7 linked regions of the Kluyveromyces lactis genome follow. The protein of the gene in region 2 binds, or shares a complex with, the protein of the main gene of each other region. Links are inferred from orthologs where the notes say so. Each region holds a gene or a part of one and is shown on either strand. Other genes may lie near its edges.

Region 1 (2,905 bases), on a different chromosome or scaffold from region 2:
CATCTAAGCAGCACTTCTACCCTCAAGGCAAGAGTTACTTCTGGAAAATATGCATTATATGATTTTCAGATTCTGAGAACTTTGGGTACAGGTTCGTTTGGTAGAGTTCATTTGGTGAGATCCAATCACAACGGCAGGTTCTATGCAATGAAAGTTTTGAAAAAAAACACCGTTGTCAAATTGAAACAAGTGGAGCATACCAACGATGAAAGAAATATGCTAAGTATAGTATCCCATCCTTTCATAATTAGAATGTGGGGAACTTTCCAGGACTCACAGCAATTGTTTATGATCATGGATTACATCGAAGGTGGTGAACTATTCTCTCTTTTAAGGAAGTCTCAAAGGTTCCCAAACCCGGTCGCGAAGTTTTATGCAGCAGAAGTTTGTCTTGCGTTGGAATACCTACATTCTAAAGGCATCATTTACAGAGATTTGAAACCAGAAAATATCCTTTTAGATAAGAACGGACATATCAAGTTAACTGATTTCGGGTTCGCTAAATATGTTCCTGATGTCACTTACACTCTCTGTGGAACACCGGACTATATCGCACCTGAAGTGGTAAGCACAAAACCTTACAACAAATCTGTGGATTGGTGGAGTTTTGGTGTTTTAATCTACGAAATGTTAGCAGGATATACACCTTTCTACGATTCAAACACAATTAAGACCTATGAGAATATTCTAAATGCTCCAGTAAGATTCCCACCATTTTTCCATTCTGATGCTCAAGATCTAATATCGAAACTCATCACAAGAGACTTAAGTCAACGGCTAGGTAATTTACAAAATGGAAGTGAGGACGTAAAGAATCATCCGTGGTTCAGCGAGGTTGTGTGGGAAAAACTACTCTGCAAAAACATTGAAACTCCATATGAACCTCCTATTCAGGCCGGACAAGGCGATACCTCTCAATACGATAGGTATCCAGAGGAAGAGGTTAATTATGGCATTCAAGGCGAAGATCCGTACCATAGTATTTTCACCAACTTTTAGCAGGCATACTTGCTCATGAAATTCAGATATCAACATGCCTCTTATCTTGCATCTACACAATATGTAAACTTTAACACGCCTTTCCCCCCGTTAGTCCCTTTTCTTTTTTTTTTTGTTTTGATATATCGGCTCATTGCCTTCAGAAACGCTGCCGTTATTTGATACATTCCTTTGAATGACCATCGTACAATACTAGATGGATTGATGTACGCACTTCCAATTCAAAATTCGTTTCATTCGTTTTGCTGTACTCTCCAATGGATGCTCGATGCAATAATCTTATTTTTGGAGTATTTATCTATCTATAATCAATGGCATTTACATATTTTGAATGCATGTATAAGACTTCATCACAAGTCCTTCCCTCACGATCCATGCTACATAAATTGTAAACTGGGGTAAGTCATGGCACATTCATTTATGTTTTGGACGTAACTTGCTTCTGTCGAATGATTTCACGTGACCAATGAATTTTTTTCCAAACTATTGAAAATTCAAAAAGTTCAGTGGACATGTCCAGTTGAAATGAGAATGATTTTACGAAATAGATGATTGAAGTGATATTGCTGAAAGTGAAGGGTCCTGGTTGCTCTACTTTATCGTCAAGGTTTATTTTACCGATTGGATACTTATACTCATTGTCACTCTAGAGAAGATCATTAATAAATAATGTCAGGAATCGTTAAACAACAAAAATTTTTGAACAAGATCAGTGCGACTACCGTGAAACCTCAAATTATATTAGATGTATCGAAGTACAGTGCATTGAATGTGAAGTTCCAGTATCAGAATTTCAATGGCCATATGGGTGCCCGTAAGTTCTGGCACGAGTTTTTGCCTTCTCTGCAGTTTTACAACCCTGCGTTGCCAATCAATGTGACCAGAATTAGAAACGATGATAAAAAAGTCGATGTACCATGCATACTAGAAGCTATTGGATCCGATGGGAAGGTTGTAGCTGAAGTTTCAATGAAGCACAAACACTCATCTGAAATTATGGATGAAGTGCTACAGAAATTGGAACACAAAAGAGTACCCCAGGAAGAAATAATAAAGGTATGAGCTCCGACCTTTGACAAAGAAAAACAAACAAACTGGAATACCTAAATATACTACTTTCAAAGTTAGGTCCTGTACATATGTATATAATAAGATACTTTTCATCCGATTTGATGTCTTATTCAAATGACATATCCTTTTGAGATGAGTTGACTCTCTGCCCAAGGATCGTCAAGACATTCAAGAACACGCGAGAAGAAGATTTAAAACGCCAGTATATGGTTACCAGGTGGTTATTTAACTTGAATTTCAGAACGCCTCTTACATCTAATTGTCATTAAGACATCTTACATTAACAGCGACTTCTTCATCTGCGGAAATGGTTTTCTGCGTATTGTTCAGTTGAAATTTTTCAATCTCGAAAATGATAAATCGCTTCAGATCTCATCATCTCATCTCATCTCATCGGTTGACCACAGAAATTATCAACACCCCAAAGAGGCATATAGTAGGGGCATTATTCACAGGTGAAGACTCTCAACCCAACAACACGAATGTCTAATACAGACTCCAGTGATACAGATGATATTCTAACATTTGTACTGGAATCCAAGGGGTTTTTCCACACTGCCGGCTGTGAGATTAGAAGATCTGATTATGGTGGTTTAGGAGTGTTTGCATTAAAGGATTTGAAGGAGGACACTGTACTCCTTAGGATTCCGAAATCTTCTGTTTTCACTGCAGAAAATAGTAGCATTGCCAATCTACTGGTTGATAGCGAGGTAAAAGGCATGTTGGCATTAAACATTGCATATATTTATGAAGTATTCATATTTCAAGTTGAAAGCCATTGGTACAAATATTTGAAGAGCATTTCACACAGACAAAATGGGAGTCTATATCTTCC
Region 2 (3,436 bases):
TCAATGTTTTCGTCAGCAATAAGGTTGGATTTACCATTGGATGGTAATTATACAATTTTGGTGGGGTTCCCTATTATCTACAAACAGTTATTCCCAGAAACTACCATTTTCGAGACTAAGAATCTACCTTTCATTTCCAAGAATTTCAGATTTAAACTCCTGCCAATATTTACTCTACTTGTGCTTTCGTTTGTGCAACTTCTGTGGTTCCACCACTTCTCTCAGTTATTATCAATTTGGATCACTTTTTTCACCTGTTATTTCTACTTGAGATTCTATCAGAGGCTACCTGCTTCGATGGCTGAGGATGCTGAATTTGAAGTGGTAGGAGATGCCTCTGAGACATTCCAATTGATATATTTCTTCCCGGATTTAGTCAAACCAGTACTTGAGCCAATATTTGATTACCTTTACCAGAAGTTTATTGTTGATTGGCGTATTGCAACTCCGTTTAGAGTATACGATATCGAACAAGCTAACATTTTGGCTCAAAAGAGGGGTGCTAAGCCTGTTGAAGGCTCTGAAGCGGAAGAAAGAAGGAAAAAGTTAGCCCTACAGGTTCTCGAAGAAAGATTGTTGGACAACAAAAACACAGAGTCTTCTACTCCACAAAACGATGTGTAAAAGTGAGACAAGCTCATTCTTATATTTTTAGACTTTAGAGCATTAAATAGACAAAAGTTGCTACAACTTGTGAATACAGATATCAATTTGATTGATATGGTGTATAAATCTGGAGAAATGGCGTTGAATGATGTGTATTATATACAGGGCATTTCTATATTGCTATATGATGTTCAGTTTGATTTAATTTCAGAATTTGGAGAAGCAGGAGCAAAATCGTTCTCAAGTTGCTCTAATTGCAACTCAAGCTTGGACTTCTTGGTCTTCCGAGCAACCAAATTTTTACCGCCTTCATCTTTGGATTTCTGCAAAAGTTGATAGTATGGGTCATTTTCCATAATCAAATAACCTCTCTTTTCTTCGTTACAGTAATATTCAATATCCTTCCTCTTTGTGGGTCTAGCTTGTAGAGGAACTCTTCCGTACTTTTCTAGGAACCAATGTGGTGATAAATGGGCTCTTAGACCAAGACGGTTGAAATAACGAGCAGTGAAACTTCCGCCTGCATGTTCGATTGCCTCAATTGCATCCTGTGAAGCTCTAGTAGCTTCAATCTTGATTGGAAGATTATAAGAGAATTTACCATCACCTAGAATCTTAATACCATCTTTGATCGGGCCGGTAACCAAACCGATTTCTTTCATCTTTTTCATCGTCAAGGTTTCACCTGGCTCCAAATGTAGGCGACCCTTTTGGTGGAACCACGTTATTCTATCAAGGTTTAATTCTTTCAATTTTAGTGATGTTACGTTGGTGAACCCTAGCTTTGGGAACAATTTGAAGATTGGGGTTTGACCACCTTCAAACCATGATTTTACATAACCACGGGCCTTTTGACCCTTTTGACCTCTACCAGCAGTCTTACCTTTGCCACTGGATGGACCTCTACCCAATCTTTTGTAGTTCTTCTTAGAGCCTTCACCAGGTTTTAAACCACCAAGGATCGTGATTTGGCGTACAAATGATCTCTGTATAAGTGATCCAAAGGGATTCACCACTTTGTTGATCGAAAACATCGTGCTAGTATTGTGAGACCTCGAGATAGGGCTATTAAATATCGATAATAGTAGATATCCAGTAGATTCATTGAATATCCAAATCATCTCCAGTAATTTCTTGTAAGTTAACCATATTCATTCTAAAAAATTTTCGAAATTAGGTATTCGGGTAACCTTTTAAAATGCTGAGATTCGCTAGGACACAGAGGGAGCTTGGAGACGATAAGAGGGTATGCAATGCTGATGTAAGTGTTTAGATGCGCCTAGCAGATTGACAAATTGAAACAGCCGAAACTATTTCAGTAAACCTACTATTATTTTAGCATCACGTTTTTCAAAAATGTAGCTGTAACATTATAAACTGCGTATTCCTCAGTTCAAAATAGGTTAGGTCCACCAGAAAAGAATTGGTAGCAGGCAATAATCTCGTAGGAGTATATAGTGGTAAATTCTTTTTATGACAAGAAACAGCTTCTATGGCCAAGTTGGTAAGGCGCCACACTAGTAATGTGGAGATCATCAGTTCGACTCTGGTTGGAAGCATTTTTTTGGATCCCTTAAACAATTACCCTAGATGAAAATGTAGCACAATAATTCCCGACAGTAAACATGACAATTAACCATTATAAAGATACCTTGAAGTAAAATGTGAAGAAATTAAATGAGTATTATAACGTTATATATGTACATATGTGAAAGCCCAACTTATCAGTATAACATAAATCGTTTCGATATATTTTGTGACTTGTCTTGTTTATAGTGTTAGACAATTAACTGATCCTCAGTTGATAGTTTTCATTAGGGGTATCAAGTATCAGTAGTGAGTATGGAACATGGCTTATTGTGGGCCTTAGTTGATGTTTTATATTTGGAATATTTCCTTTTGGCGTTTGTTTTGTTTGACAACAACAAGGGGATGATATTGGGTATATCATGCTATTATCTTAGCGAAATGTGTTAAAAAGATGATGTTATATTGTATCAGGATCAATCTCCCCTGAGATTTTCGATGATCGAATTGAATTCTGTATCCTCATCATCCAGCTCATCTGGATTGGCGATTCTTAGCGGTCGCCTTTGTTGAGTTACATCTGGTAAAGAACCATTGCTGAATCTAGGATTTCCCATTGTCGGACGTACAGGAGGTTGTGTTAGGTCTGGTTGATCCATAGTTTCTCCAAACGGACTAACGATTTGCGAATCACTGATTTCGTTTCCATTATTATCCAATCTTTTCTCCCTATTTTGACTTACACCAGATCTATCAGAGGATGATGATGCTGAATGAGAGTTTGGTAAAGTAGCAGCAGCGCCAAATCCACCTCCGGTAACTGGTGGGACTACGATGTCTTCTTCTTGACCAAACGAATAAGGTTGGTAATGCTTACTTTCCTCGAAGTCTGACCGTTTACTTTTCTTTCGCTGTTGCCAGATGAAGAAAATGATAATTGCTGCGATCAGTAACACACCCAAAACAACACCCACAACAATACCAGCGATAGCACCATTAGACAATGATGAAGATTTATTTGACTCCGTTTTAGAGTTTGCAGTGTTGGTACCTTCGGCTGTGGTTGCCACGACGGTACTTGTAGTTGTAACGGCAACAATACTCCTACTCTCACCATTTAAAGTAATGACTGAAACCTGTGTTGTTACAACTTTTGAATGACTGGTAGTAGAGGCGATGGAGCTAGACAAAGATGAAAGCGTACTATCAGTGCTAGAAGAAGTGCCTGAAGTATCAGAAGATGACGTTGTAGCGGCAGTGCTTGAAGAATCTGTTGAGGTTGCACTGGATGAGGTACTGGAAG
Region 3 (3,183 bases), about 490 kb from region 2:
TCTGATAGGATCGTTCATGATGGTTTGGGCGATTTCCTCCACGTTGGATGGTATAGTGGCAGAGAACATTGTTTTACGGAGATGTGGATCAGTACATGAACTCAAGATATCATCAGTTTGTTCCACAAATGTCTTGTCGAATAATTTATCCGCTTCATCAAATATTAAATGTTTCACTTTACCCAAATTCAAGGCTTCTTCCTGAACCACAGTAATCAATCTCAAGGGAGTAGAAATGATAATATCGTACTTGTCCTCACTGATAACTTTATTCTTTAATTTTGAGCTTAATGATTTTGAAAGTAGGGCAACTTGCAGAGGTCTTTTCTTGTCCAAGTATATCTTGTTCGCTAATTTGGAACATTCGATGAAGATCTGGTTCGCAAGTTCTTTTGTTGGGGATATAATTAAACCTTTAAGACCAACTGTGGTTTTATCGTTGATTATCTGTTGCAGTAGTGGGATCAAAAATGCCAACGTTTTACCAGAACCTGTGGGAGCACAAGCGATCATGTCACGTTCATGCAACAAAATCGGTATAGATTCACTTTGAATCGGAGTTGGTTCAGTGAAGTTATTTTCTATGAGGTTGTTTAACAATCTCTTATCGAATTGGAACCTTGTGATCAAGTCTTCAAAAGAACCGATGGGCAAAGGAACACTATTCCCTGAAACATTCCCTTGATAAGATTTACGTAACTTTAACGCATCTTGTTTCGTGATAATTTTCCCGGATAACTCAGTCTCGTCATCAGCATGATCTTCGTCTTCTTCTTGATTATCTTCTTGTACTTCGTCTTCACCTTCACCTTTGGTTGACTCAGACTTTACCTTATTCATGATTTTCTTATTACGGAAAAAATCCAACTCCTTAGTCAATTGTTGTTCATCTCTAGCTGGTGTACTTGAGCTGCCAGCTGTCTTACTCTTCTTTTCATTAGCCATGCTAAAGTCTGCAGACTGTGTTCTATTAGAATCACCATTCTTCCTTATGCTAGCTCCACGAGTCAAGACTCTAAAGATATCCATGTTAATTAGCGGTGCTAGTATTGGCCTGTGAGAAGTTACTTAGTAATGAGAATAAATTCGATAGTAAACCACTGTGAGTGATATAATCAATCTCTTACTACTCTCTCATCTCATCTCATCTCATCTCATCGCCTACATCTAATTGCAGTTTTTTCAATTAAAATTGATCTTACTGAAGCGTTTCTTTTCACAAAACTTAGGGTACAATAAGTGTAAAAATCGATATAAAAGTACTTCTCAAGGCATAAAGATGCAGCAAAGCTTACTTTAAGATACAGCTGGTATTAAGCCCTCATAATACCAGCCCATAATGACCATATTCCCTTGATAACAGTACCTAATGCCTTGATATTGCATGTATTCCCATCATACAAGATAGCACTTAGACACAGCGATGACCTCGTTTGGAGTGATCTGAAAAATTTTGAAAAATTTCAAAATTTGGATCGCTGCCTCGAGTCGAAAAACTACAAAGAAACAGTTTGAATCGTAGTTAAAAGGACTAAACTGTTAGAATTAAGATTCAATAATTCTAATATTTGTGTCCTGTGTAATTACAATCTGTTGATATTCGGTCGAGGAAGATTGAATTGTGAAAATACCAGACAGAAACCATTCAGACAGTATTTTTTTACTTCTGGAATAATGTCCTTAACCAAAATTGGTCTTAACTTAAGCACAAAATTCGGCGTGCGTAATGGTTCTTATCTACACGTTGGGACTAGGGTACGTGGTTTGAAAAGAGACCCAGTTGAGTCTTTGAAGAATCCACACGGTTTGCACTATGATTCTCTTGTCAAGGATGGCCATGTATCTACTGTTAAGCAAGGTTTGAATTTGGAAAAATATGGTATTGACTTGCCAGACGACATCATTACACAATGTTTGACTCACAAGTCGTTTGCCCAAGGTATTAAACCATACAATCAGAAATTGTCTATTATCGGTGGTCATTTTGTGAAATATCAAGCTTGTCTTCATTCCTTGGGTCTACCTGTTTCTGAAAGGCAACTATCACAAAGCGTACAGTCTGAACCTGTTATTAACGGACTAAATTTCGGTATGCTTGGGAAGGGAAGTTCTAAAATGTTAATATCCAAACAGAGTACGGCTGAATTTTTGCAAAGGAGAAACCTAGATAAATTAGTGTTTTGGAACAAACGAGACACTCAAAAAAGTCACAAATATAACGGTGAGTATACCGTGCTACAAACTGTGCTAAATTCTGTGGTCGGCAGTGTCTATCTATTGCACGGTCAAGACAAGGCCACCGAATACGTGTTGCATGAACTATTCAGCGACAATAGTGATTCCCTAACGAAGATATCTGAAAGTTTGTTAGCAAACAGGGATACGACCGAGAAGTTATAATATTATGTCTAATTTTACACGACAGGAAAGAAAGAGAAATGGAATACACAATAGACTTCGACATCAATAAAAAGCACTCGAGTGAATGGTCTCCATCGGAGTTGGGAAAGAGCTTTCAAAACTTGTATATATATATTTCGAAACGGAAGTTTCAATCACAGCTCTTGGTCAATGTGGTGTTTTAATCTACTCTTTCATCCCTGCTCAATTTCAACGTTTTATTATAATGAATTTACCAAAAGCATGAAAAGCATAACCTTTTAACGACACTCCATCGTCACACTTCAATTAAAAATGAACCTCGAAAGAAACGCGCGCACTGTATATATCTCATGTATCTCTAGAAATATAGACGTACATAAATTTACAACTAAATCTATCATTAATTAAATGTTAACATACAAAATAAAAACAGATTAAGAAAAGTACATAATACAATACATGTATATAAATACATATATAACTTCATAGAAGGGATGTTTTTTGCTGGTAATTTACTTGGAAAGCTTAGCATTTAAATACTCAATGTTGGTCTTAAGACTAGCTTCTTCCACAGTCTTTACCAATTCTTTGGTACACTTTGCTACATCAAATGCAATACCAGCTAAACGTTGTTTGAAATGCTTATCTGCGAACTCTTCGTCCCCCTCGTGCGCTACTACAATACCGTCTGGTTTAAGATGACAAAGTATGGTCATTCTACGACGACAGTCATCTAAACTCTGAACAACCCATGAACCATGTTCTTTCAATTGAGAATTACGGCTTTGGTTCATGGAAACA
Region 4 (3,701 bases), on a different chromosome or scaffold from region 2:
CCGTATGACCATTGTGTTGCAAGGTCAAGACGGTGTCATCGAACAAGCCAGAAGACAAATCGAAGATTTGGTACCAGTATTTGTCGTGTTGGATTACTCTCATTCCACCATCATAGAAAGAGAATTGTTGATGACAAGAATCTCTTTGTTGGGTGCTGAATACTTCGAGGATTTGATTCATCACCATGAACAAGATGAAAATACTGATACCGTTGAAAGAATAAGACAACAGCAATTCCATCCTTCCAACCTTCCACTGTCCCAAGTATTGAGATTGAAGCATGAACATTTAAACGACATCTCTAACTTGACTGGTAACTTTGGTGGTAAGATTGTTGATATCGCTGAACAAAGTTGTATTGTGGAATTATGTGCTAAACCATCCCGTATCTCTGCATTCTTGAAACTTGTGGAACCTTTCGGTATCTTGGAAGTGGCAAGATCAGGTATGATGGCTCTACCAAGAACCCATTTATCTGTCGGTGATGAAGATGATGCTCAAAGCAAGATGAATGACATCGTTGATATCTCTCAATTGCCTCCTGGTTGATCCAAAGGGCTCACCTGCCATAGTTTTGTACCTCAAAACAATCCAATATCAAAAAAATAGTAATGTAAGAGTATGTTTTGGATTTTGTCTCACACATATAGACAAATTAAATACGTTAACGATATAATATGGAATTAACCTTTCCAAATGATATATAGTCTCTAAAAAACTTTCGTTTTTTTCAGTTTAAACTATGATGATTGTTGTGGTTCTTTTGTTAATATGTACAAGGCTCTAAATGGTTTGTTACGTAACGACTTGGGGAAGATTTACAATTTGCTCAAGAAATCGGTCTTTGGTCTTGTAATGACATCTATCGTGTTTTGTTCGTAGTTGTAACGTCTGGTGGTTAGATTTTTCTTGGAAGGTTTGAGTGGTTCTTCCAATTTCTTCAATTCTGTTTCTGGTTTCACTGGCTTCAAGAATTTTCTGCGTAGTCTCACCTCTTCAGATAACGTCAAGAAGTTCTTTGCATCAGTAAACTTGGCTAGTACTTGCTTCTTACTGTTCTTGTCCTTAATATCAATTGCCTTCAAATCAGTAATTAGTTGTGTCTTTAGAGTATTCTTTTCTTCTGGAGAAATGTATTTAGTTAATTCAAGCTTGTTGTTAAATGACAATGATTCATTCAATTTGGTCGAGACCTGTTTCAACAATGTTAGTTTGTCGTCCAACTTAGATTTTTCTTGGTTTCTCATCTTCAATTTAAGTTCTTGTTCCAAATAGTAGTACGAATTAAATCGGGCATCGGATTCATTGAACCCATTCTTCAAACAAGTTCTCCATCTGAGCAAATATGGTAATGCAAACGCAAGTTCTTGTTGATCCAGCTCAACTTTCAGATCTGAAATTATCTTGCTGTATTCTGCCTTCAACTCTTCACGTTTAATCTCACGTTCTTGCTGTTTCTTGATCAATTCATCCTTCAGCAAATAAATCTTTCTTGGTAAAGCGTTCTCTTCTGCAATGGCTTTCTCTTCATCCTCAATGATGGCCTTGCCGAATCTTCTCAAACGTGGTTCGAAATGCGGCAAAGGAAGCTTTACATCCTTGTATAATGATACACCAATGAATTTCTTACCTGGATGAAATGGATCCAAATAGTATCTCACATAACCCGGCTCCAAAGCGAAAAGCGTATGATCTTTACCGATGCCTACATTTTCACCAGGATAAAACTTGGTACCACGTTGTCTCATGATGATCTCACCAACTTGAGTGGCTTGACCCTCGTATTTTTTTGGACCCAATCTACGACCAGCAGAGTCCTTCATACTGGTACGAGAACCTGCTGCACGCTTGGTTGCAGTACGCACCTGCTGCACCACAAACTTGGGAACTTGTTGCCACGAAGATGAGAACATTATGCGTTGTTTCGTAGGCCTGGTCCGAACAGTATCAAGCAATGTCACAGTAACTGTATTTCTGCGTGTATCTGTACTTAATGTATTTAAGATAGGATTTTAGTGACAAAAATTTTCCACAGTATGGCGGATTGTAAGGTAGGGTAACAACGAAATCCAACAAGATATAGCCCTTCGAAGGTTCGTGTAACTGACTGTTTAAGAGTTGAAAGTATTGATTTATACATTTTACCAATTTCATCTATTGCTGAGAGTTCTTTCGATACCATAGTGAATTTTTCATGCTTGAGAAGGAGTAAACGTCTAATTCACGTCAAAGTTATTCGAAACTGAGGTTCCAATTAAAGATCTACCATCACTATATACGTTTTGATGTTCTCTTCCAGCACGAAAAACTCATATTTCTCTAAGTACAAAACATCAAGAAACCGACACTGCTTGCATCGAAAAGAAGTCTTCACCTTTCAGATTTACGTTTGAATAAACAGGACGTCCATTTATAGAAGTTTCCCAAATTAATTATCGTGCTGGTGAAGCCCATATTATCTAATTGAAATAGGAATACTAAGAACCGACAGCCCATAGATAAAAAAAAAATAAAACAAAATATATCAGTGATTCTAGCGAAAATGGCAACGGAAGATAGATGGGGTCTTGCCGTGACTCAATTACAAGATCTATATAAAATAGGAGATATTGCGGGGTTTGAGTCTTTAGATCCGAAGAATATGAATTTCCAGAATATGAATTTGAATCAATTGGCTGATATCCATGAGAAATTAGAGGCTCGTCAGTCTGTAAATGAAAAGATGAGAAATTACTGCAGAGATTTGGTAGAGAACATTTCATACATATTAGATAATTATCCAGTGGAAGAGGAACCTATATTAAAGGAGGAATCCAGTTCGACGCATATCCCTGAATCGAGTGTTGTTGGTAGATCACATTGGACCAGTCAATTCAACCCAAGTGAACCAATTGAGGTTGGTTCCGAAGTTGCATATAAATCTAAAAAGACTGGCGAATGGATCCAGTGCATATGCACAAAAGTTTCTGGGGACGGACTCCGGTTTGAAGTGAAAGATCCAGAACCCGATGAATTTGGGAAACCAGGTGGTATATTCAAATGTAACTCGAAAGAGATCCTCTTGATCCCGCCCGTGACTATGAAAAGAACCCAGACTCCGAATTATCCAGCGAATACAAAAGTTTTGGCAAGATATCCAGAAACAACGACTTTCTATCCAGCTATTGTTTGCGGAAGCAAAAGAGATGGGACATGTAAGCTACGATTCGACGGTGAAGAGGAAATAGACAAGGAGACTGAGGTGGAAAGAAGATTAGTTCTTCCTTTCCCCTCTAGACGATGAGTTTCTTAATTATATCACGTTCACGAAATGTATGTAATTTTCCATAGCCTGTAACAATAAAGAAAAAAAAATTATGAAAGAACATTAAATAAACCGTATCACATTGAGATAATGTAGGAACTAGTAGCGGTGCCTGTTTGTGATTTATCGCATCAGACGCGACAGACATTAAATACCATAGTTCTAGTTTCTTATTGTCGAATATTTTGTATATGATTCATGGTGTACCTTTTTAACAAAGTGACACTTAAATCAATAACAAAACTGTGTTTTGTGCTATTGTTAGTGAATCTGGTTCTAAAACTGATGAAGGCTCCAATTTTGCCTTTATTATTCCGGATATTAACCACCTGCCCAGCGAACAAAGATGTATGTATCTTTTGGTGGCAGAAGTATTCGATAGTAGAACAATGGGTA
Region 5 (3,206 bases), on a different chromosome or scaffold from region 2:
TTTCCACTTGAGCCGTTGTCTCATCGAGATTCTCACGAAGTTGTTTCAAATGTGCTGCTAGTCTCGCATATTGGCGCTGTTTGTTGTCCATGGTAAATATCAGTAACGTGGATGACCTTCCGAGTAAAGATCTTGAGCAATATCCTTTGGTACTTCTGTTTTAAAGGTTCTCTGCTATTAGTGGATGCAATTTTAAAGATTCAATGTTTTGATTTAAGTGAACACAATTGACAATCTCATCGAATTGAATCATAAATAGATGTGATATATGAAACAGTACTGCACAGTACTGAGCAACAGTGGATATTGCAGCACCCAATGTCACGGCTCAATGATCCAGTAGAGCTTTTACAGCAAACCCGGTCCAATTTCATCATTGAAAGCGATGTCTCTAATATTAAAGAGATCAAGAGTAATATGAGACAGCTCACGAAATTGATGGCTGAGAAACAAACACACCACAATGAGCTCATGAAACAATTGCAATCACAGCTGCAAAGACAGCAAACTAAAGTGCAGGCACTTAAAAAGAATTTTCAGGAGCAAACAAGCCAAGTGAAACGCGTAGAGGACGAATTAAACATACCGAAATTGCAACAAGACATAGATAAACTGGTACAGGAAATTAACCAGCTTCGAGATACGATACAAGAGGGTATTCAAAAGGTCGTAGAAACACAGAAACAATTACTCAATGACGATACTGATGCTGCCCACACGATTGATGAGGAACCGATCGGTAAAGATGACAAGATACGTGTGCTAAAGTTGAAGTTGTTCCATTCCCTTGACGTAGCACTATATAATGACCAATTGCTCGATCTAAGGAATGAAGCCCGTCCATTATCATCATCATCATCATCTCACAACATCTGGGATGAACTATGATACCTTGATTTTATTCACTATGTACAGGGGCTACTTACTATGTAATAATAGAAGTTTTTAATGATGATTCATCCAAATCAGAAATGACGTGGGTTTCTTCTGATGGAAAGCTTGGTCCATTTGGGAACTTTATGTATACCCTTTCTATATCCCTTCGAGTACCTGTTGAATACACTGTACTTATCAGTAGCAGACATCTCCGGTTCCTTTGGGAAATACTGAGCCTTGTCTAAAATACGTAAGCTCTTCACACGAGGTTTAATCTTACGTAGATTCAGCTGAGATCCCTCAGAAACCGCCATATGGTTTCTTTCAAGATGAAGACCTAACTTAAGAGTTGAAAGAACATCATCAACGCTTCTCAAACGGTCTCTTTGTCTTGCTTTTTGAGGACCAGACATACGCCATGGGACTTTCCATAATAATCCACCTAATGCAGGTTGTGTAGCTCTGAATGCACCGAACATTTCTCTATGAAACAAAGATATTCAATTGACCCGGGTATGACAGAACCTAACGAGCTGCTTAAACAGTTTGTATAACGGTGCTACTGGCTGGCTTTTACCAATTTCCCACCGTAATTCATGGTATTAAATCTTTTAAACCTTCGAAATTTTTCAAAGTATCCATGAAAAAGCTTTAAATCTCAACATTATGCAAATGAACAATGTCAACTGATTTAAACGATTTTGGGGAACAGCCAGCGTATTGTCATTTGTAGCTGCTGCTGTGTCCATAACCATAGGTCAGAAGTTCTTATAGTACTGGAATACTGCACCACAAAGATAGATTATTCATTTAGAAATGTCAGAGGGCGTTGGAAAGCATAATCAAAGATTACCAATTTGGGTATTGAACCCTACCGAGGAGAAAGAAGCTCGTCAGAATTTGAAGAAATTTGCATATGCACAATGTGTAGAATACGTGGAGGCCATGGTCGAATGTTCAAAGATTCATGGATTGAAGCTTTTCCCAGCGTGTAACGAACCTCGTGACGCTATGCGCAAATGTATATTATCATACCAGAAGGATTCTAATCTGGATCGTCAACGTGACTTGATAGTGGAACGTAAGATTGAGAGACTTGAGGATCTTCTCAAGAAACAAAAGGAATAAAGTTGACATGATATGACATGACATGACATGCCACTGGGGTTACTTGTATATAGTAGTAGATACTGCACCATAATAAATTAACATTTTAGAAAGGCACATCCATGATTGAAGTTTATCTGCTTCATTGTTTCCCATTATAATTATAGTTTGTACAGGTGTTCAAAAGAGTAAACTAGTTTACATTAAGTCTAGAAGATCGGTTGCATGGGAATTCGAGGTGTTGTTGTTGTTATTATTGGTTTTCTGTGAAATGTTTACTTTCCCCATATCACCAGTGATATCGAAAAGATCATTTAGTTCGTCCAGGACGCCTGTACTTCTCGTGGCAGAGCTATCACCCATGTCAAGTAGTACATCATCGTTCATGTTTTTCAGGATCTCGTTCGTGGCCATTCCCTTTAATTCATCAATATCCTTATCCTTAATGATGTGAACTTCGTTGGGACGGCGTTGCATCTGCGAGATTGGTTTGAAATACACAGAGGATAGAGTGGAGAGCTCTTGAAGTAGACTTTGTAATGTTTCCTTGGAGAAGTGGTCCAAGGTAGAATGCAATTTAGGAATTTCATGCTTGTCAAATAATTGGTTGATGATTTGATCACCGTTGTCGATCGATAGACACCGCCAGTACATCATGGCCATGTCTCTAACGTCCAAATCGTGGACGTCTGTCGTACAAAGTTCCAAGATCTTCTGTAAGAAAGCACTTGAGACTGCATTATGGCATTTCACTACACCCATTAGAAGGGACATTTGAGTTAGGGATCCTAATTCATCGAAAACTTCTACCAGTGGTTCAAGCTTAGTTTCCAAATTTTCGTTTGTATAGTTGGTGATAAACCAGATGTAGTTACAACTGCCTAGATCAGATGTAAATATGGTATCGATATCTTGCCATGAGGAAATTATGGCACCCAACTCATTCTTACTTGTTTCCTTGATAAGATTGTTGTCACTGTCATAACGTAACATGTCGCATACGCATCTCATCAATATATCCCTAAACTCTTCTCTCTCCTGGACAATCGAAACGAATTCTTCCATGACCATATTCAAAAACTTGTTATTCGTATCTTCACCTCCGTTCGAGACTTTAATGGCCAATTGTGAGATGGATTGGATAGCTTTGGTCACGAATTCATGATCAAAGTCCTTTGCATATTCTTTTAATTCGTTGAAAAGCATCTGGCAATGTTTCAAAT
Region 6 (3,168 bases), about 140 kb from region 2:
CCTCTCAAGTATAAATGGACTTATAAGTTTTGTATGACACTGCAAATATCAGTTTGTGTATCTGATTTCGTATCTTGCTTCGTATTTTATATAGTTGCTGTCTCTCTTCAGTATGATCAAAAAAAAAGAAACAGTAACTCCAGAATAACTTTTTACCTAATCTCAAGCCTTACCCTTTCAATATTATTGCAGCCTTCTTCGCTTGGTATGCCAACATTAGCCTATACGCTTCGTATAAATACAACCACTGATCTTATAACGCAATACATTTATAACGCAATTCTGTATTCTCGACACCATGTTATGCTAGAAAAACTAAGAAAAACCCGAAGCCTCTAAGGGAAAACAGGATTGTCGTTAAAGAAACACCAGAGAAAACCAGAGAAACGGTGTTAAGGTTTCTCAAATTTGGTCATGTGACATTTTTTTTGCTTTTTCTTTGGTGTCCGGGTTCCTGCTTCTTCTTCCGTTAGGCGTTAATGCATGCATGAGACACATATGGTATGAAGCGGTAGAAAAGTAGAGGAAGTAATATGATGATTACAGAACCTTTGATATTTAGGTTACGTGATGATGGAAACAAGGGAGAAAACTGCTAGTAATCACCTTGTCAAATCAGTTAAACGCCGGTAGTGAGCTGAGGGTTTGTTTATATTATTTACAGAGTCGGATTGTCTGCGGGTTATATATGTACATGTAGTGATTTCTTAAAGACGTGACGAGTGAAGCAGTGAAAGATCTGAGCTCGGCTCAGCTTTTGCAACTGGAAATAGTTTGTATTTGCTTGTTTTCTTTTGTAACTCATAGAGAGATGTTTTGAGCAGCTGACTCCTGTTGTCTCACTCTTGCGAACTCTTCTTTGGCTCTTTCGCCTAGTTCTTTCAAAATTGCACTTTCCTCTCTGGAAACGTTCCCCAAACGTTCTAGTGTTGTGTGATTCAACTCTGGCAATACTGGGTTCCAGTATTTCTCTTTATCCCCCATTCTCCATTCGTCTTCCCAATGGACCTTAATGGACGATTGGACGTCTTTCAACTTTAGGAGACATTCTCGCAAATCGGCAACCGCTTCTTGAGAGTATGTTGGTCTGTATTGCGATGAGTACCATGTGTGGCCGGACTCATTCTTCTTTCTCATGTCTTTTGCCTGTTTACTGAATGTCACATCACGGAGATATCTTAATCTGCACAAATTCTGGTATACTTTTACACTCTTGTCGTAGTCTGGTAGATCAACAACAGCCATACATTTCCAAATATCACGTCTGGTGCTTGGTTTCTTATTCTCCCAGTTGGGTCTTTGGAAATTGGTATCAATTTGCTTCCAAGAAAAAGTCGGGAATTGAGAGTACAGCACTTGTCCACTCTCTAGGTTTCTGAATAAAAAGACTTGTGGTGCATACCCTGCTTTCTGTAGCCAGTTGGCTGGACGGAACTTGGTAATAGCTAAATGCTTGCTCATCTCTTCCTAGTGCCCTATGGTGTCTTCAAGCCTTATTTGTTAACAACAAAAGCCTTGATCCTCAGAGTTCTCTTCTATCTCCAGTGCTATTGATGGACTTCTGAAGAGTTATTTAAATACAATGTGTGCACAAATGTGGTGATCTCTTCTGTAATCAAGCTAAACTAACTATCAGCTTTCTCTTTTTCAAAATTTTTCAGCTTTTTCAGATGCCATAAACAACTTCGTAGAAACACTGAAAATTAAAGAGAATGAACCTAATATATACATTACCCGGATCTTGTGATGATATTGAATTCTCCGCTACCTGCTCTATCTTATCTTGGATCTCATCTCCAGAGAAAGGTTTTCCTATCAGCAGACACGCACAGTAGAGTTATCACCTTCATCCGTCAAGTGTCCGCATATTCCACCATCTAGAACTTGATGTTTGAATTGAATTATGGAGCCGTTCCTACGTCCCGGACAGATTGCTTAGCTAGAGTTCTCGATTGTGGAGATGATAACCGTGGATCGATAAGTGCCATTTGTGAGCCGGACTTGACAATTGACGGGAATTCAAGCCTAGCAAGCAGTGAGAATTATACCAATTGTAAAATCTGTGGAGGGTTTGCGAATTTTTTATGTTCAAGAGATTCACGAGCTGGGTGGTTTTGTTCTTTTTGTAATGCTTATAATGAACTAGGGAATATTCCATTATCATCGTCATACCTAAAACATTTAGGAACTGCTGCTGTGCCTACGCATTCCAAGTTCGCCATAATCATCGATCTTAATTGTGAATTTGAGGAAAATCTAGACGCGTTGAAGATGTTACAATTTGGTTCTGTCCAGTCATTGGCCCTGATCACGATTGAAGATGGGTCTGTCACTATTCATACTGACGGGTCACACATTACCGTAGATGCAGAATCTAGTAGTTGTATCAGCCATCTTAAGAAGCTTGACACAGAATGGTTCATTGCAAAGTATGGGCTTTTAGTGAGGAAGATTTGGACGGACCAAATATCTTTCGGTGCTAAACTCGCGGAACTTCTATGTCAACGGACTAGGTCAAAAAAAAGATGTAGAAGAAACACTGCACTCGCTATTTTTCTAGCACAATGTCTAAACCCATCACAATCCATTGCATTTGTTTTCGGACCCTGTACAGTAGCACCAGGTAAGGTTATCTCAATGGACCGAAAAAATCATATCAGGCAGCATAGAAATATAGAGGAAGACAAGGATGTGAAATATTGGAAACCTTCTAGAGAATTTTACAATAAAATGAGTAAGTCCTTAAAGTTTGCTCCATGCACGGTATTCGTCGCATCCATGGATCAGGTCGGAATATGGGAGATGAGATCCTGTTTGAACAACTTTATTCAATACGAATCCTTCAATGATAGAAATTTCATATATGATTGGCAGGCGTATATTCAAGGGAAAGGATGTTATGAAATAACCAGAATTGTTATCAAAACTTCTAACAAGCTATTACTGAATGGGATCTTTGGTCCAGTCTCATCCTTGAAAGACAAGGACACACATGTATCTGACACTCCAAAGGGCTTTGGAGGGTCTGGAACCTTCCGTTACAAAGGGCCAAGTAGTAATCTACCATCAATTTTGATAAGTTTATCTGTTGATACATCTCGCAGCGCTGCTGAAGCCTTGCAAGAAATGCCAGATAAATTTTCCTTTCAAATGGAATGCTACTATAAA
Region 7 (2,862 bases), about 480 kb from region 2:
AGCATTCGCAACACCACGCATATATTCAACGATACTTCAAGTAAGACGAAGGGTACTAAATTCAAATTTAAGAATGGTTCTGGAACTCGGCAGTCTCCAAACAAACAGCACATATCGTCGTCTCCTCCAATATTAGAAGTTCAAAACATCGCCGATGTAGACACATCAAATACTTTTGGGCAATTCAATCGAATTTCACAGCCACCAAGTAAGAACTTGAACTACGATACTCCAAAGATCAATGTAAAACTAGAGTATCATACAATGCAAAGTTCTAAGATCATTTACAAGATAGATGTTCCAATATCAAGTAAATCAGACATGGAAATTTCTCCCGTGATAACAAAGTTGATCAACGAAACCCATGAATCAGCTGAAGCATTCAAACTTTGTAATGACAATAGATTCGGTTATACCACATTGGACGCTTTACCAGCTGTTTTGAGCAAATATATCTCCCAGAATATGAGTGTTCAAAGGTTACCACAAAGACCTAAAACAAAACATTTGTACAATAGAGTTGATCAATTGCTGGCTCAAGAAAATCAATTCTTTTCGGCAAATGACAGTATAGAACTAAGTTTTGATGGAAAAGCTATGAATAAAAATGATATCTTCAGAATTGTAGATTCGTTCTCGGTGGCATTTGACGATGATGAATATGGTGAAGATGGTGACGACGAATACGTGAAACAGCCTAGGAATATTCTCACCAGAGAAGTCACCGGTGTCTTCTAAATAAAGACGTTTGGTATATGATACTCTCAAATACCTCATTAGAATAAGATTAATATTTCTTTGATCTCTATATACATGAAAATCCTAATATCCTTTTCTTTATGTAAAACAGAAGATGTTCATTGTGAGCCCAGTTTCTTCTCTGTTAAATGTTTCTGGTACATTGCTTTGTTTGTTATATTGTCTGGTATGATCCTTTCTATACTCTCTTTTCGACAGTAAATCCAGGATTTGATTTTCTTAGCTCACGCTGTTCTGCCTTACTTAAAGCTTTATCGGCAAGCTCAACGCTCACAAGCTCCTTTATCTGAGCGACAGCACCTGCAATAGATGGTGTAGCTGGTTGATATGCGACAGATCCTCTTTTTCCGAGTCCTAAACTCTTGACCACTGCCCTAGTCTTCTGTGGAGTACCAATGACTGACCTCTGTAATGTAATTCTGTAGAAAACCATGGCTATCTTTGAAAATTATTATGATAGCTATGCTTTTAGAAACCGTTCGCTAATACCAGTAATGAAGTATAATTTCCTCGGTCGTAAGTTTCGTTGACAATATAGAGAACTATGTCAAAAAAAAACGCTCTTTTAAGAGATCTTGTGCATCATTATCGAAGAGATTAACTGGGTATTCAAACCATTAATAGCCAACGTACATTGATTTTTCAAATAGCATCAAAACGTATAAAGTGATATCATGTGATGTATATTGTCTAGCAGCTCATCGCGTATGTCATTTGGGCACTTCTCACAAACCGTCGCAGGAAAGTGCTACCTACTGAGAAAGAACCAGGAATTGCATATAAAGATCTCAAGATTATATCTCGCTGTTTGAATATTTCTTCCTGAATATGAAGTTGCATTGAAATTGTCTTAGGAGGGGCATTTGCTTGGTTATGTATATATATATATATATATATGTCATTTCTTTTTTTCCAATATTTATGCCCGATTGAATAATATATATATATATCATATTAACAAGCTCTTAACGCCATGGTTGGTTAGATCTCTCTAAGGTTTATATCGCCACTATACACTGCAAAGTAGAAGTAATAATTTGAGCCAATATGGCTGGTAGTACGCAAGACACCGGCGTCAAAGACGTTCCAAAAGAGCTTGTGGAACAAGCAAAAAAGCTATCGATTACTGATGGGATGGACCAGTTGAAGGTAGAAGGTAAGAATAAAGTAAAGGACAAGAAAAGTAAGAAAAAAGGCAAGGCCTTGAATGAGATCACTCCAGAGTATATCGCTGAGATGCGAGCTAAGAGAGAAGCTGCGAAAATAGCAAAAAAAGAGGCTCTTATTGCTCAAGGTATAGATCCAAAATTGCCCGCAGACCTTAGATTTATCAAAAGGCCGATGTTAGCTGTTCCTCGAGATTCATCAGGCCAATCGACGAGAGAGGTATGTCCAATCAGTATAATGACGTATAATTGTCTTGCCCAAGCTTTGATTAGAAGAACACTGTTTCCTACGAGCGGAAATGCTGTTAAATGGTTTAAAAGATCTCAAGTTTTACTCAATGAATTCAAATATTACAATGTTGACGTACTGTGTTTGCAAGAAATTGACACGGTTCAATACAAGTCTTTCTGGAAAATGGAGTTCACAAAACTAGGTTACATGTGTCAATTCCATTTTAATCCTACCAAAAACCACGGAGTATTAATTGCTTGGAAAGAAGATCTATTTGATATGACAGATAAGATGTTAATTGACTACGACAAAGAAACAACAGGTGCCATTGAACCAAGAACAACTACCAAAAATGTTGGCATGTTGCTTTCTTTGAAGTTTAAAAAGAAAGTGCTAGAAAAATATCCAGACACCAAAGTCAGTGGTATAATTATTGGTACCACACATTTGTTTTGGCATCCATTTGGCACATATGAACGGACAAGACAATGCTATATTGTACTAAAAAAAGTAAAAGAATTCCAGAATCGAATCAACGTTCTTCAAAACGAAAAAGACGGTGATAATTCACATTGGCCAGCATTTTTCTGTGGCGATTTCAATTCTCAGCCGTTTGATGCCCCATATTTGTCCATCACATCAAAACCAGTGGAATATACCGGAAGGGCTAAAACAGTTATAGAGTGCAGCACTTCATTTACCTTC

Evidence for each region.
Region 1: MRPL10 (region 2) and MRP49 share a complex: the UniProt entries of both Saccharomyces cerevisiae proteins name them as parts of the mitochondrial large ribosomal subunit. The link is inferred for Kluyveromyces lactis from reciprocal best matches to the Saccharomyces cerevisiae genes MRPL10 and MRP49.
Region 3: MRPL10 (region 2) and MRPL15 share a complex: the UniProt entries of both Saccharomyces cerevisiae proteins name them as parts of the mitochondrial large ribosomal subunit. The link is inferred for Kluyveromyces lactis from reciprocal best matches to the Saccharomyces cerevisiae genes MRPL10 and MRPL15.
Region 4: MRPL10 (region 2) and MRP7 share a complex: the UniProt entries of both Saccharomyces cerevisiae proteins name them as parts of the mitochondrial large ribosomal subunit. The link is inferred for Kluyveromyces lactis from reciprocal best matches to the Saccharomyces cerevisiae genes MRPL10 and MRP7.
Region 5: MRPL10 (region 2) and MRPL31 share a complex: the UniProt entries of both Saccharomyces cerevisiae proteins name them as parts of the mitochondrial large ribosomal subunit. The link is inferred for Kluyveromyces lactis from reciprocal best matches to the Saccharomyces cerevisiae genes MRPL10 and MRPL31.
Region 6: MRPL10 (region 2) and MHR1 share a complex: the UniProt entries of both Saccharomyces cerevisiae proteins name them as parts of the mitochondrial large ribosomal subunit. The link is inferred for Kluyveromyces lactis from reciprocal best matches to the Saccharomyces cerevisiae genes MRPL10 and MHR1.
Region 7: MRPL10 (region 2) and MRPL33 share a complex: the UniProt entries of both Saccharomyces cerevisiae proteins name them as parts of the mitochondrial large ribosomal subunit. The link is inferred for Kluyveromyces lactis from reciprocal best matches to the Saccharomyces cerevisiae genes MRPL10 and MRPL33.

The regions. Positions count from the first base shown.
Region 1 is NC_006038.1:622,700-625,604, reverse strand, and holds MRP49 (mitochondrial 54S ribosomal protein mL61), read left to right. Parts: upstream 1-1,668; coding exon 1,669-2,061; downstream 2,062-2,905. Other genes in the region: KLLA0_B07205g (cAMP-dependent protein kinase), read left to right, coding at 1-999; RKM3 (protein-lysine N-methyltransferase), read left to right, coding at 2,553-2,905. UniProt on the Saccharomyces cerevisiae protein: Component of the mitochondrial ribosome (mitoribosome), a dedicated translation machinery responsible for the synthesis of mitochondrial genome-encoded proteins, including at least some of the essential transmembrane subunits of the mitochondrial respiratory chain.
Region 2 is NC_006039.1:1,033,148-1,036,583, forward strand, and holds MRPL10 (mitochondrial 54S ribosomal protein uL15m), read right to left. Parts: upstream 1,728-3,436; coding exon 798-1,727; downstream 1-797. Other genes in the region: KLLA0_C12111g (uncharacterized protein), read left to right, coding at 1-624; WSC2 (Wsc2p), read right to left, coding at 2,610-3,436. UniProt on the Saccharomyces cerevisiae protein: Component of the mitochondrial ribosome (mitoribosome), a dedicated translation machinery responsible for the synthesis of mitochondrial genome-encoded proteins, including at least some of the essential transmembrane subunits of the mitochondrial respiratory chain.
Region 3 is NC_006039.1:1,527,787-1,530,969, reverse strand, and holds MRPL15 (mitochondrial 54S ribosomal protein mL57), read left to right. Parts: upstream 1-1,674; coding exon 1,675-2,400; downstream 2,401-3,183. Other genes in the region: RNA-dependent ATPase ROK1, read right to left, coding at 1-1,029; KLLA0_C17380g (uncharacterized protein), read right to left, coding at 2,895-3,183. UniProt on the Saccharomyces cerevisiae protein: Component of the mitochondrial ribosome (mitoribosome), a dedicated translation machinery responsible for the synthesis of mitochondrial genome-encoded proteins, including at least some of the essential transmembrane subunits of the mitochondrial respiratory chain.
Region 4 is NC_006042.1:1,139,692-1,143,392, forward strand, and holds MRP7 (mitochondrial 54S ribosomal protein bL27m), read right to left. Parts: upstream 1,915-3,701; coding exon 820-1,914; downstream 1-819. Other genes in the region: ILV6 (acetolactate synthase regulatory subunit), read left to right, coding at 1-550; SGF29 (Sgf29p), read left to right, coding at 2,544-3,284. UniProt on the Saccharomyces cerevisiae protein: Component of the mitochondrial ribosome (mitoribosome), a dedicated translation machinery responsible for the synthesis of mitochondrial genome-encoded proteins, including at least some of the essential transmembrane subunits of the mitochondrial respiratory chain.
Region 5 is NC_006041.1:1,081,845-1,085,050, forward strand, and holds MRPL31 (mitochondrial 54S ribosomal protein mL60), read right to left. Parts: upstream 1,356-3,206; coding exon 966-1,355; downstream 1-965. Other genes in the region: HSK3 (Hsk3p), read right to left, coding at 1-91; kinetochore-associated Ndc80 complex subunit SPC24, read left to right, coding at 319-888; CMC1 (Cmc1p), read left to right, coding at 1,693-2,004; APL2 (Apl2p), read right to left, coding at 2,182-3,206. UniProt on the Saccharomyces cerevisiae protein: Component of the mitochondrial ribosome (mitoribosome), a dedicated translation machinery responsible for the synthesis of mitochondrial genome-encoded proteins, including at least some of the essential transmembrane subunits of the mitochondrial respiratory chain.
Region 6 is NC_006039.1:893,135-896,302, forward strand, and holds MHR1 (mitochondrial 54S ribosomal protein mL67), read right to left. Parts: upstream 1,462-3,168; coding exon 802-1,461; downstream 1-801. Other genes in the region: GTPase-activating protein NEL1, read left to right, coding at 1,888-3,168. UniProt on the Saccharomyces cerevisiae protein: Component of the mitochondrial ribosome (mitoribosome), a dedicated translation machinery responsible for the synthesis of mitochondrial genome-encoded proteins, including at least some of the essential transmembrane subunits of the mitochondrial respiratory chain.
Region 7 is NC_006039.1:552,988-555,849, reverse strand, and holds MRPL33 (mitochondrial 54S ribosomal protein uL30m), read right to left. Parts: upstream 1,193-2,862; coding exon 938-1,192; downstream 1-937. Other genes in the region: KLLA0_C06292g (uncharacterized protein), read left to right, coding at 1-738; NGL2 (RNA exonuclease), read left to right, coding at 1,807-2,862. UniProt on the Saccharomyces cerevisiae protein: Component of the mitochondrial ribosome (mitoribosome), a dedicated translation machinery responsible for the synthesis of mitochondrial genome-encoded proteins, including at least some of the essential transmembrane subunits of the mitochondrial respiratory chain.